Lonchura striata: one gene and its partner. The protein of the gene in region 1 purifies or fractionates together with the protein of each later gene. This does not show direct contact. Links are inferred from orthologs where the notes say so. Each region holds a gene or a part of one and is shown on either strand. Other genes may lie near its edges.

Region 1 (6,939 bases):
CTTAAGCTCCCTGGTGCTGCTGATATCCATCTGCAGGATGGGAGTAAGTGGATGCAGAATCTGCAAGCTGCTGTGAGGATGCACATGCTGAGATCTCAAGGAATGCTGTTGCCACAGGGTGAGATGAGTGTAAGTGTGCAAGAGCACTTGCTCTAAGTGCAGCTTTCTCTACAGAAACACTAGACATAACTTTCCTCACAAAAAACCAGAGAGAAATCCTTACAGGAGGAGCATGTACAAATGTGGGAACTGGTTTGGGTCTACACTTTAAATAAGCACTGCCAAGGAAATCCAAGCTTCAGAATTTTGCACTTCACCGTGAGAAATTTCGGCTGCTGTCATCACAGATGCTCCCCTCTCCCTTGGGTACCCTCCACAGCAAAGACTAAGGACATGTGTCACATTCCTAGTCCAGACTTTTAGCCCTCTAGGGCAGGTAATGCTTATTTTCATGACTTCTGGAAAAATTAGAAAAATAGTATGTTCCTCTGGCTATATGGTTGCTCTCATGTACTTTCTGAAGCCATGGCAGGAAAATCTACATGTGCCAAGAGAACATACTTCAAACCCTGTCTGCACAGCAAACTTCACATTCTTTTTTGCACCACTAATGCTGCTTCAGTGGACAATCCACAGTGCAAAGGCTAGAGCAGACCTGGTATTTTTTGCCTTTTTAGTGTAGACATTGATATACATGTTGAAGGAATGCTGGCAGTAAGTAGTAAGAAACTAGAAGGGTGACACCCCTCTAGCAGGGTCCAAACAGGCACCTCAGATATAGGCAGCATTCCCTGCCAGCTTTCTAAACATTGTGAAATATGAAAATGTCTACAATTATCTTTAGTATCCTTAAAAATGTGATTGTTTTCCAGAGGCTACTTCCCACCCATTTTTGGTGCTGACAAAACTCTCACAGGCACTTAAGAACCCCCAGCCTGGGATATCCCAGGGCTCGGGGACATCCAAAACTCCTGTCACCAAACTGGGGCTGTCTCAGTGGGGTGGGATGGAGGGATCACCCTGAAAAGCATCAATTTCTTCAGCCTGCTTTGCTACAGCTTCATGCCTTACATCGAAGACTGTGGCTCCCAAAGAGCCCCTGGTATTTCTCAGGGCTGATGTCTCTCCCATCCGTAGCCACTCTCCCTGCTCTGCAGCACGAGGGCTGCGGGAGCGTGGGCGGCAGGAGGCTGAGGGAAGCCTGCGGGACCTGACGTGTCTCCCTCGGCTGGCGTGAGAACAGCCTCGCTCACTTGCAGTCATGAAACGTGCAGAAATGTGTGTATCTTTCAGACATGTACCCTCTGCCAAACTTCAAAAGCCACTGCTGGGGGTGGGGGGCACTGACAGACACGAACACCATAATTGCACATGCCTTGCTTCCTGCCTTAGGAAAACAGAAAGAAAACTCAACTCCATCGGAAAATAATTTAAAAAAAAAATATATATACAGCATGCTTCCAGGCACTGCCAGCATTCTGCAAGGACAAGGCTGGTTTCAGAGGCTGATGGCACTGCAGGCAGCAGCATCACTGGCAGCAACTCACCCACCCTGGCCCAGCCGCACGTGCCCCTCGCATCCCTGTCTCTGGAATCACCTGTCATAGATGTCACAGCAGCAGCTGGTCATGGTGGGGCACTGGTGTGGCCAGTCCAGGCCTTGAACCCACCCAGGGCTTGCAGGGAATGGGAATTTCTGGTCTCAGCGTTACTGGTGGTGGTTGAGGACCAGTAAGCTCAGATGTGCCAATCTCAGCGCCCAGCCAGTGCTAACCCTACAAAACCTGTATCCTGAGACTGGGTGAAATGGGAACGGGTTTTATATGGAAGCAGGTTTTATCCTAATAGAAAAGAAATACTACCACCTTGCTCCCACTTGTTTCTGTGCCAAGGCTATATAGAGGATGGGGCAAAAAGCATCTGTGATCCTGTTTTCTTCACACCTTGCAGCCACCTCTCCCTCACCAGGTCTATGGACTTGTCCTATGCAGCCCCGGGTCAGCTGGGGAAGGGAAGGGAAAGGAAGGGAAGGGAAGGGAAGGGAAGGGAAGGGAAGGGAAGGGAAGGGAAGGGAAGGGAAGGGAAGGGAAGGGAAGGGAAGGGAAGGGAAGGGAAGGGAAGGGAAGGGAAGGGAAGGGAAAAGGAAGGGAAGGGAAGGGAAGGGAAGGGAAGGGAAGGGAAGGGAAGGGAAGGGAAGGGAAGGGAAGGGAAGGGAAGGGAAGGGAAAGGGAGGGAAGGGAAAAGGAAGGGAAAGGGAGGGAAGGGAAAAGGAAGGGAAAGGGAGGGGAAAGGAAAGTGAGAGGGAAAGTGAGAGGGAAAAGGAGAGGGCCATCGGCCAACACACCACCTTGAGCCTGCAGAACCGGACAGGGCGGGATCGGGATCAGGCCTGGCCGCCACTCATTGCCAGGAAACTACGTAAATAGGCAGGACAACATTTCGACACCAGGCGTGTCCGTCCCCTGTGTTTACCCCAAACCCCTCCTGATTTAAAAAAATTAAAAGAACAAGAACCAACAAACAAAACAAACTGCAGCGAAATGGCTGAAACACCTTGTAACCATCTGTGAAAGCCGGGCTCCCATGCTCCGAGGAGGGGGAGAAAGCGAGCGAGGCAGCAATTTTGGGGGGTTAGCCCGGCGAGAGGCAGGCGCGGGTCAGCACCGAGGGCGGCAGGGCCGAGGGAGGCGGCGCCGCTGACCCTGCTTACCTTGCGGGCGAGGGGTTCGCGCTGGGCTGCCCCGGACAGCGAGAGCGCTGCGCCTCCCGCTCCCGCCGCGCCCGGGGCTCCTTCCTCAGCCGGCCGGGCGGCCTTCCCTCCTTTTACGACACGCTCCCAGCCTCTCCCAGGTGAGCGGCAGAACTGGCCTGCAGCAGGAAGTGGAAGCGCAGGCCGGCTCGGCGCGGTGGCGCCGGGAAGCGGCTCCCGGCCGTGCCTGCCGCGCTGCCGCGCCCGTGGGTGCCGCGGCTCTGCCCGAGCGCCGCGGCCGAAGGGCGCAGGGCAACCCCGGCGTGATTCCTAACCCGTGCGCCTCGCCGCGAAAGCCATCCCTTGCTTTCAGCCCTCGGCCGCTTGCTGTCAGGGCCAAATGGTAAATCAGCTGTGATTCAGACGGTCGAAGAGAATCACATGACGCGTGTGAGAACTATATAAAGAACAATAAAAGGATTTCTCGACTGGTTCTTTCTTTTATATTAGCTTTCTAGACACTTCCAAGTTTCTACACTCTCAAGGACCAGAAAATCGCTTTTCCTACAAGCTGAAACTTTGTGTTCTCCCAGCTCCGGAGATGCCCGGTGAGCTGCCCCAGGAAAGCCGCTCTGGCCGCTTTTATCCCAGGCCACGCCACTGTCCTGACCCCCACGCAGCGCATCTCCCTGCCGAGAAGCTCTTCGTGATCTCCAGCCTCATTTTCTTAGTTTCACCCTAGGAGGACGTTCTGGCACGGCTCCCCACCCTCCGGGTGGCCGCAGGCGGACACCGCGGCTGCCTGGATGCCTGGCAGGTCTGCCTGGCACAGGGACATGGAAACCACCCCCGAGCTCCGAGCTCTGGCAGTGCCACCGCTGCTCCTTCCTGTGCCCCTCCAGTGACACGGGGGGCCGAGGAAGGGGGCACATACCCAGCATTCCTGCCCTCGGGAAGGGCTCTCTCTGCACGCCCGCCACTCTGCCAGCCCCTCTTTCTGGTCCAAAGGCAAAGCAGTGACCCAGGCAATTATCTCCTCTCATCACGGAATGACTGCCCACATTTTTGGAAGTTGCCTTCAGGCAGCTGGGAGCAGGATGTGCCCCCAGCTGAGCACTAAGTGTGATTGTATTGATGGCAGTGCAGTGATGCCCTGCAGCCTGGGCTTACCTTCCCTGGTGAGAAATCCCACATCAGTCTGGCCCTGGAACTGGCCATCCTGACCCCCTCCTTCCCCGCTTTCTGCCTCCTGTGCCAAGGCAAAGGCCAGCAGGACACCAGGGCTCCCTTTTGGAGCACTCTGAAGTTGTCCTTGACCGCTGCCAGACTCCCTGGAGAGTCCCTGCTGCTCCCAGCCAGCCCCAGATGTGATGAGCACTAGATGCTTACGGCTGGAGTGGCTGCATTATGACCACAGCTGAAGGTTTAATCCCTCTGGCCTGGCCTCTGCTGCACAGCTGTTTTGCACCATGAGCACCCTGACAGCCGGCATTTTCTTCAAGGCTGCCTGAGCCCCGAGTTGCACCGCACTGGGCTTGGGTGGCTGCCTCTCCTGCCGGCTTTCCCACCGGCCTCCAGCTCAGGAGCAGTGATGGCTCCACTGCCACTGGTGTGCCACAGTGGGTGAGGGCGGTGAGGGGCCCACGGCCACACAGGAGCCAAAATCAGGACCTTGTTGAATGTTGACAGGATGGAAGCAGGGAGGGAGAGTTGCTCTGGGGAGCACCTGACCTTCCTGGGATGTGTGTGAGGGATGTATGTAGTGTTTGCTGTGCAACGACCAGCTCCTCAGGGAATGCAAGCAGCATGGGGACTTGGCAGACAGAGTGTCCCGTGGAATGCTTCATCAATACCCACATCTGTGGGGTTTCTTTATAAAAGGTTCTGCTATGGAGCCATCAAGCACCTCTCTTCACGCCGTGGATGGCCTCCCTCACTGACAATGGGTATGGACAGTCCTCTGTTCTCCGCTGGTCAAACCCTGGACACTGGTCTGTAACATCCAGCAAACAACAGTGTCCACCTGCCACCCCTGTAGACAGCTGTCGGTTGTCCAGGAGAGGAACATTCTGGTTGTGAGATCTGTCACTTCAGCTCCAGAAATGCAGAGATCTAATGATGTCTGCAGATGCGGCCAAAGAACCAGTCTCTGTCCCCTCTTTAACTTGCCAAGCCCCAGAAAACAGCAGATATTTGGAGCAGTTTCCTTTCTCTTGAGAATTATGTACTTTAGACAAAGAGGGGAAAAATAGCTTGAAAGTCACACTCTGTTGAATCTGTTAACAGCACTGTCTGCTGAGTGGGTTTCAAAGGTCCAGCCCAAACCTCAGTACACTCCCACAAAGCTGTAGAAACTGTTGTCAATTAACTCATTTTTGGATTAGGAAACTTGGACAATAGATACCCAAGTTAATTTTAGCATTTCAAAAACCTCCCTCATCCCCAAAACTGAAGCCATCATAATTGCCTTCTGAAGGCCTCCTTTATATATTTGAAGTCTTCCTACCCTACTGACTTCACTCACTGAAAGCCAGATAAAACTCTGAACTCTCTAAAGTTAGAATCTCATCTGTACATTATTTACAAGCAGAACGTGATGAGTCATATTGGGCCTGTCATAGAAAGAACAGATTCAAGTGCAGGATGGTTTTCTTTGTCAAGGCAAGTAACACGGACCATTTTTTTCTTTTTAAAATCCATTCCTTATCCGGCAGGAGTTGTAATATTTCTTTTTTCATTAGGAAGAAAATGTTGGTATTGAGTGCCCCGTCTCATATTTCTTACCACATCTCTGTTTTTGGAGAAATAAATAATGAATATTTTTGCTTCCAAATTATTAACTGTTTAAATAGCGCACTGTCATGTTACTCCTCTTTTAACATTGGTGCTGTGAATTAACCTGGAGACATTGCAGTGAGCCTTTAACCCCCTCTGCCTCAGCATAATGCACTGGTCTCACTCTGGTTCTCTGCATGTCCCTTGCTGCTTTTGCACTGTGAGGAAAACCGGGACTTTCTTCTATGTCTTGCTGTTTACATTGCTAGGCACATGCCTGCGAAAATATTTTCCACTTATTTTATTTTAAGGCTCTTGCTTTGTCAATTTTCAGTCACACCCTGGAGAGACACCTGAAAGGAAAGAAAACAGTACCTGGATGTTGGCTTGTGCAATGCATGTAATTAAACCCTGCATAATGACAAAAACACCTCCTGCCATTTGTTAAGATTTTCCCCACAGCATTATGTATCCTCTTAATTAAGAGCAGAAGCTAAGTAATACCTATTTTATTCCCTCTTGCATCCAATTAGTCACCCATTGATCATTACCCACTCAACATTTGACAATTAACAGAGCCCCCATTCTCTGCAGGACAGGGATGTGTAGTCCTTCAGAAATGACACGTCCAGAATAATGTGATGGGAGCTGTGTGGATGAGTCATGGGGGGAGGGGAGGAAAAGGCCACCCAAGTGGAACAAAAGACATGTAACATATGCAAATGTTCAATATGTGGAATGTGTTTTATACACTGGATATATATGAGGTCATAGACAAAGCTCAGCTGGTGGCTGCACTCCTTTTGGGAGGCATGGGAATTTGAGGGAGCACTTGAGCACTTGTGTGATCAACCGTAGCTAGTCCTCTCTGTTTAAGACACAAAGCTGTTTCTCCACTGTCACTGGGACTATGGGCTGTAGCACCACAGCCCCGGAACCCAAGTCACCCCAAGACCTGTCAGCAGCTCCACACACTTGTGCCTGAGCTGCTGCTAACAGAGCATGGCAGCTCTGGGTGTCCAAAGGGCCTCCAGGGAAGCTGCAGGTCCCTTCTGCATTGCCACTCTCTCCTGGAAGCCTGTCCCAGGAACAGTGATGGCCCAGGCCATGTGTGGTGCCAGGAGCGGTGTGCTGGGACCCCTGCAGCCCTTTCCCAACACCAGAGACCCTCCTATACGAGTAGCATTTTCTAGCTGGGGAAATCCAGCTGCCTGTGGAATTGAGAGGCAGCCCAGAGCCTGAACTGCAGCAGTGAATAAAGCACAGGGACTGCCAGGGCTCAGAGACAGGCCTCTGGCATGAGGCTGAGCCCCAGTAGTCACAAAACAGCCCTGCATTCTTTTTTCTTTTTCCAGATTAGAATTCATCCATTTCAGGGCTCAGGAATTTTGTGTGAAGCTGTGACAGTAGGTAGCTAAGCAAGGCTCTGGGTGCATGAGCTCAGCAACAAATGCTGATGCACAAAAAAGCAAACC
Region 2 (7,381 bases), on another chromosome or scaffold:
ACAAATAAAAAAAGAAACACCCCAGAAAAAAAAAAAAACTAACAAAAAACAAACACTGCCAAGGCTAACAAAAACCCACCATCCCCGGGATTCAGACCTTCTGGCTTAAAATTCACCTTTAGATAAAGCTTAGATAAATTAATAACACTGAAACTTTCAAGGTGAACTCAAAGTTTGAAAATTATTTAATAAAGTTGTTCTACTTCCTAAACATTCACCCACAGAAATGCAGGATGGGATTTTCTGATTGTAACATGCAAGAAGCTTGGAAAAAGAAAGATGATGAAATTGAGTGTATCAACAGAAACTTATCTTTTTAATAATGCAATGCCTATAACCAAGATACTCCCTAACAGTCCCCTGGAGTAAATACAATTTAAAAGTCATCTCTAAATAAATAAATCAAATATCAAAATAGATAAGACGACTCTATATGAATACTTAACTGGCATGAAAAATACATCTACTCAGATCTTAGACATAAAATGTATTTATTTATCCTTTAAAGATCAATAAATTTCAGATTTGTATCACTCTTGCCCCTTTTTAGGAAACCCTCCAGAGATGGGGGGCAGAGAACGCTTCCTTGTCTAATAATTAACTGCCAGAACCGGGGTGAGGAAAACAAACTCAACACCCAAAACAAAATCCAACAAAATTAATCTCCTCTATCATATTTGCCCCAGTCCCCCTCCAAGTTTGTCCACACACATACACAGTTTTATCTTCCCCATGAGTAGTAACAAATCCCATTTTTTTAATGCAAAAGCACTGGACTTCTATTCCACTACTGCAGCTCAAGTTCTCATCAGTTGAGGGTACAGAAGCTTTCAAAATTTCCTCAAAATGAATAAGAGGCAATAAAATATAGAAAACACCATCTAGCTCGAGATCCCACTCAGAGCAGAATGCAGTGCACAGGCACACACAGCAAACAGGTGTCACACATGCCTGTAGCTGCTGGCAGGACAGCTCACTTTCAGTACAAAAAGCTGTAAGAAATTCCCTTTCGTGTTCCTTCGGGGTGGGGATAGCAGGGGGTGTCTGAGGAAGAGGCTGCAAGAACTTTCCACGTTAAGAAAACCAGAGAGCCATTTTCCAACTTCAAAACAATCAGTAAATCAGATGAGTTATCCCAGAACTCTCATCTAAGATAATTCACTGCCTCTTACCCTTTTCCACATGGCAGATTACATAGTTAAGGGCCATTTAGTGATCATAAGACCAGAATAAATGAATGTTGTCCCACCTCTGGGCACGCTACGTCAGGTGAACACCTAATTCCCACATTAAGTCCTGTTGTACAAATGCAGCCAGAGAGGCACCGGGGCACTTTAAAGGTGCCAATTCCCCGCGCAGTAACTCTGGGTCCTACCACAGGACAGCCCACGGCACCTCATGAGCCCACAAGCGCTCTGGAAATCAATTAAAGCCACATCTCTCTAAAAATCTTATATTTAAAACCAGAGTCGTTTATTAATAGCGCTACAGCCTCAAGGAAGCAAGACTGCTGGAGTGGGACATTGCATCTGATTTGCCACAAGCGAAACTCCGCACAAGTCTCCAGCAAGTTCAGGGGCAGAGCAGAAACAGCGGGCACGGAGGGCAGAGGTGCCGAGGAGCGGGGAGCTTCCCCCGGGGCAGGAGCTTCCCTCGGAGCGGAGCCGCGCTCTCCCCAGCGCCAGCAGGGCCCTCCGGGGGCAGCGCTGGCACCGCCCGGCCCGGCCCCCCGCACACGGTAACCCGGAGAGCGCCTCCGCCTTCCCCCCGTCAGAGCGCGCCCCGGCCGGCCCCTGCCCCGGGCCCCTGCCCCGGGCCCCGCCGCAGCTCCCGGGGCAGCGGGGAGGAACCCCCGGCCGGGAGCTTCCCCGGCGGCCGCCGCTCCCACCCGTGCTCCCCCTACCTCCGCCCGGGGCTGCCAGCGCCGCTCACCCGCACAGCGGCTACTCCGGGGGTGCGGGGCGGCCCCACCGAATCCCGGTGATCCCGCGCTGCCCGGACGCGAGGCGGAGGCGCGGCCCGCCCGCAGGCCGCGAGGCACGCCCGGCCCGGCCTCAGCCGAGAGCCGGGAGGGACCGGGCCCTCAGCGGGGCTCGCTGCCGGTAGCCTCTCGCTCGGGCGCTCCGCGCAGCGGGGCCGCGGGCCCGCAGACTCACCGCCGCTCCCGGCCCGGTCCCGGTGCCCCGTCAGGCCGCCGCCGCCAGGACAAAGGCGCCACCCGCCACTACCGCACGGCGCCGTCGCAAGGAGGAGGAGGGGGAAGCACGGTTGCTATGGCGATGTAGCGCGCTTTACGGCGCGGCGGCGCACCGCCATGCCTGCCGAGGCAAAGGCCACTTGCCCCGGCTCCCGGCATGTCCCGCGGCACGGCGCTGCAAGGCACGCCGGGAGTTGTAGTGCCGAGGAGGCCAGGCGGCCGCTGGGTGGCGCTTTCGGACCTCGCGCGGGGGAGGCGGCGGGATCGGGATCGGGATCAGACAGGGACGGGGATCAGACTGGGACAGGAACCGGGATCGGGATAGGACCGGGACCGGGATCGGGATCGGACCGGGACCGGGATTGGGATCGGGATCAGACTGGGACAGGGACCGGGACTGGGATTGGGATCAGACAGGGATCGGGACCGGGACCAGGATCAGATTGGGACTGGTATCAGGATCAGACTGTGACAAGGACTGGGATCGGGATCAGACTGGGACAGGGACCGGGATCAGGATCGGGATCAGACTGTGACAGGGACTGGGATCGGGATCAGACTGGGACAGCGACCAGAATCAGGGTCAGACTAGGACAGGAACCAGGATTAGGATCAGGATCAGACTGAGACAGGGATCAGGATCGGGATCAGACTGCTGTTGAGACAGGAGTAGATGTCGGGGTCAGACAGGGACCGTATGGGGCTTTTGAACGGGACCGGGACCGGTGTCAGGATCGGGACCGGGGTGGGGATCAGACCAGGACAGGTTCTGAGACTGGAACCGCGATTGGGATCAGACCGGAGCCGGGGCCAGGGCCAGGACCGGAGTGTCCTTGCCCCGTTCAAGGGGCAGCGTTCCCGTGCTGCACCCCTAGCGCCGGTGCCGCCCCGAGCAGCAGCTGCCCCGGTACTCTGTCCCGCTCTGCGGGTAGCGGGGTCGGGGGCTCTCGTAGGGGCTCCCACCTGAGCAGCTCCTGCCGAGCGGGAGCACGGGCCCCCGCTGCCGCCCGGGACCGGGAGCAAGAGGCGCTCACAGCCCGTGGCCACGGGAGAACCTGCTCAGGCAGTGCCCGGCGCCGCGGGGATTTCCCAGGCCAGGTCCACAGGAGTCGGGCCCAGAAATCCCCTTCTCTCCGCAGCCGCCCCCTTCGCCCTCGAGATTCCCCAGGGACCCTTCGTGCTCCCGAGTGAGTCAGTTCTGGGAAGTGACATTGGGCCGGGGAATCCAGAGCGCTCGGTTCCCAATTCCCGCTGCCCGCGGGGAGCGCGCTGCCCTTCTGCCGGGAGCAGCTGTGCCCTGGCGATGGCCGATTGTGGCCACCACCTCCTGCTGGGGCCGGGGCCGTGCCCGGGCAGGCGGCTGCGGCGGTGTGTCCGCTCGGGCACCGCGGCACCGTGGCGGCAGGAGTGCCGCAAGTGACCGGGGCACCGAGAGGCGCTGAGGAGCCGCCGTTCGCTGCCCAGCCACCGCAATGCCAAGGGAAGTGCAGGGAACGTCTCCGGAGCGGGCAGGGATCCTGGAAATTCCTTGGCGGTTGCTGGGAAGCCCTTTGGGGAACTGAGACGAAGGTACATCAACGTCACAGCACGGTTGCCCCTTCCCTTTCAGGACTGACGTGTTTGCGGGGACACTCCGCGCAGCTCAGGACTCTTGGCGGCTGTGGGGGGCTCTCCAGGGCTGCAGCCAGAGGGGCTCTTCCTGACCACAGCCGTGGGGGCTCTCCAGGGCGATAGCTCAGGGGCTCTTAAAGGCTAAATAAATAAATAAAAAAACCAAAACAAAACCAAAAAACTCTCTGAGCTACTGTTGGAAAGAAGAAGTGAAACCTGGAGCTCCTGGGGGGGTGGGGGACGGGGATGGGGGGCTGCACAGGCGCTCCCCTCCCCTCTCATCTCCTTCCCGCGGACGGCGGCCGACCCCTGCCACTGTCCCTGCCCCTGTTCCTGACTGCAGCCGTGACTCCGGGCCGGGGGTTCCCGGCGGTGGCAGCGCGGGGCTCGGAGGGGCCGGCCGGGAGCTGTCCCCAGCCGGGGCTGGCGGGGAAGCCCCGGGCAGAGCGGTCCAACGCCCCTTCCTGGGCGGGAACGGACCGAGGCGTTCTTAGGAGGGCGGCGGCGGCGGCCGGGGCGCAGCGCCATGAACCGGCTGGGGCTTTTGGGACTGCTCTGCGCGGCGCTGCTGGGCGTGAGTGGGGCCGGGATCGGGGCATGGAGCGGGACAGGGGCGGAGGGGATCCCTCCATCTCTGTGTCTCGCTGGGCTTTCCGGGAAGGGGCACGGTCCGGCCGCTCCGGCCCGTCCCAGGGCGCAGCCGCCCCCTCCGGGGAGCCCCGGGGCTGTGCGCGGGCGGCGTCAGCGGGACCGGGCGGCGCTGCCGCGTCGGCTCTGTCGGTCCGCTCTCCCGGGACCAGGCAGGGCGGACGAGTTGTCTGGACTGCCTGGTACCCTCTCCAGGTCTTGTACCCTCGCGCTTTCGCTTTTCTCCGATGGCGCGGGCCCGGCAGCCCAGCCCCGCCCTGCGCTAGCCCGGGGGTCCCCACGGGCAGGGACGGGCAGCGGCGAGCCCCGGGACCCTCGGCCGGGCCCCCAGCCGGGCAGGGCGCTTCTTTCACTTCTCGGTTGCATGTGGGCGGCTGGGACGGCGCCGCGGCCTCGTCGCAGTCCCCGCGCCGGGGCTGCTGGAGGTGCCCACGGGGGTGGGTGCGCCCGGCCGTGCTGGGTGCTCGCATGGCACCCTCGGCCCGGCCCTCTCTCCCTCGCTCCCTGCCGGAGCTCCGTCCCGCGCCCCAGGATGGCCAGGCCAGTCTGCCGGGACCTGCGGCACTACTGGGGATGCGCAGCGAGGGGCTGGCTCTATGAGACGAACGGGTGCCCTCTTGTACCCTGTCTTGCTCGAGAGCTCATTCCCTGCCTTCTTTTTACCCTTCCCTGTGCAGGTAGTCCCCTGCCAAGAGGAGCAAGGGCAGGCTCTGGCAAAGTTTGCATGAGTGTTGTGTTTGAATGGGGTTTTCCTGTCCCTCAGGGATGGTGTGTCAGCCTAGGGAAGGGGCTGGCAGTGCTCTGGGTGTGAAAGCTTGGTGATCTCGGCTCCCTCTGTGAGGGACTGCAGTACTGTTGGCAGGGGCACAGGGTGATGTGCAATCACCTTATGGTAGGAAATCTGGGGAAATGTGGAGCAACTCTGCCGGAATCACTGTCACCCCACTTCAAAGACAGCACTGATGGCATCAGGCAGCGTGGGTGGCTGCTGTGGTCTGTGGTTAGTGGAGGTGTGGGAAGAACGGTGTGAGGAAGCCCTCACCTCAGGGTGCAGGTTAGCACACATGTCTGTGGAAGCGCGGTGATGCGGAAGCGTTGGATATGAATTCACAGGTCTTGTTTCTTCCAGTTTTGGGAACCTGGTGGTGCCTTAACATGCTTTGATAAGCAATATATATACAAGGACAGATGCTGCAACCGGTGTCGGCCAGGTATGGAAACCCTTTCCTAGGGACCTCACAATTGGGCTGTGCCAGCACCTACTGCCTGGGCACAGCAGAGAAAGCTTCACTTGGTGTGATGGAGCCCCTCCACCTCACTGCCAGCAATGCTGACAGCTTCGCCTCCCTGTGTCATCTCAGTGACAGAGCAACTGGGACCTTGTGGGTCCCGGTCCCTTGGATCTCACCAAATGTGCCACAGCTCTCTTGGGCCTGTTTGTGCACTTGCAGCTACAGGATCTCACAGCAAAGGCAGCTTTGTGGGGAGAGTGCTGGCACTGGCACTAGCAATAGCTCCTGCTGTCACTGTCAGGTCATCTCCCAGTCCCTGGGTGCTGGCGTGGTGCCACAGCCCTCCCTCTGTATCTGGCCCCTGCAGTGTTTGTGGTCATCAGGCTGACTCCTTCAGCCCTGCCTTCCATACAGAATAGTGCAGCAGTCCTAGCATCCACAGCTGCCAGCCTTCCCCTGTCCTGCTAGCACAGGGAAAGCCCCCTTGCCCCTTCCTCACGAGCCTCTGTTGCAGGGGAAAAGCTGGTCTCTGAGTGCAATAAAACAGAAGACTCCATCTGTGCCCCCTGCGAGAGCGAGCACTATCAGCCAAGCTGGACCAAGGAGAAGCACTGTGCTCCTCATGATATCTGTGAACGCAGTAAGTGCTCCCTGTGACCACTGACCCCAGCCTGTGGGGATTGGGGGGACTGGCTCCCCTGCATGGTGTCTCACCTTGTCCATGTTCCCTCTGCCCAGATGCTGGCCTTGTTGTGAAGATGCATGGAAATGCAACACACAACACAGTGTGCCAGTGCCGGGCTGGCACGCACTGCTCTGACACCACCTGCCAGACCTGCGTGGAGAACCAGCCTTGCCAGCTTGGCTCTGGCTTCGTGGCAGGTAAATCTGACAAGCTCTTCCCTCTCAACGGAACTTATACCCTGTCAGCGCTGACCTCAGGGAATGGGGGATCCCCCAGCATGATGCTCCCTGGCAGGGCTTTGGGAGAGCTGTGCCATTGCCACGGGGTGTGCCGCACATCTGGATTCTGCAGCCCCTTGCCCCCTCAGGCCCTCACCCCCCATAGCCCTACTGACCTTCCTGCCATCTCTGCTCCTCTTCAGCCAAGGCCATGGACCGGATGTCATCCCCCTGTGAACCCTGTGCAGAAGGCACCTTCTCCAATGTCTCTTCTAAAACCGAGCCGTGCCACCCCTGGACAAGGTATTGTCTGAGTACAGACTGTGTCCTTCCACCAGCCCCAGTGAACACATCCTCTGCTGCCAGTTTTCTTGGTGGTCTTGGGGACTGGGCATCAGGCTGGTTTGTGAGTGACACAGCATCTGGCTGGTGTAGGGCCAGAGTGAGAGGAACAGGGCTAAGAGAACAGTGCGGACCAGGGCAGCATTGGCTGAGGTCGAGGCAGACATTCAGGCACTTATGTCTGTCCTTCACCATGTGCACAGACTGCTTGTCCCTTCAGGGATGTCCGTGCTGTCATCCATGCTGGAAGTAAGGGATCAGGGTCAATGGGGATGCCCCATGCCCTGTTCAGGTTCTCCCTCCCAGTGCTCTCTGTGGCTGTAGTCATTAGCCAAAACACAAGCCCTCTCCATGGGGAGTTTGGCTTTGAGGGTGCCGTGAACTGGCAGGTCATCCCTGTCTTTAGAAAGCTGCTTGAGGGTTAATTGCAGTTCCTGGTAGAAACATG

The links. The genes of interacting proteins can lie anywhere in the genome.
Region 2: the proteins of TRAF3IP2 (region 1) and CD40 purify together in Homo sapiens (affinity purification with western blotting, with the first as the bait; 3 studies listed by BioGRID). This does not show direct contact. The link is inferred for Lonchura striata from reciprocal best matches to the Homo sapiens genes TRAF3IP2 and CD40.

The regions. Positions count from the first base shown.
Region 1 is NC_134605.1:68,416,687-68,423,625, reverse strand, and holds the start of TRAF3IP2 (E3 ubiquitin ligase TRAF3IP2), read right to left. Parts: upstream 3,088-6,939; 5' UTR 2,711-3,087; intron 2,395-2,710; exon of another isoform or gene 2,348-2,394; intron 1-2,347. UniProt on the Homo sapiens protein: E3 ubiquitin ligase that catalyzes 'Lys-63'-linked polyubiquitination of target protein, enhancing protein-protein interaction and cell signaling. Transfers ubiquitin from E2 ubiquitin-conjugating enzyme UBE2V1-UBE2N to substrate protein.
Region 2 is NC_134619.1:8,306,272-8,313,652, forward strand, and holds the start of CD40 (tumor necrosis factor receptor superfamily member 5), read left to right. Parts: upstream 1-4,334; coding exon 4,335-4,382; intron 4,383-5,585; coding exon 5,586-5,667; intron 5,668-6,202; coding exon 6,203-6,328; intron 6,329-6,426; coding exon 6,427-6,570; intron 6,571-6,794; coding exon 6,795-6,894; intron 6,895-7,381.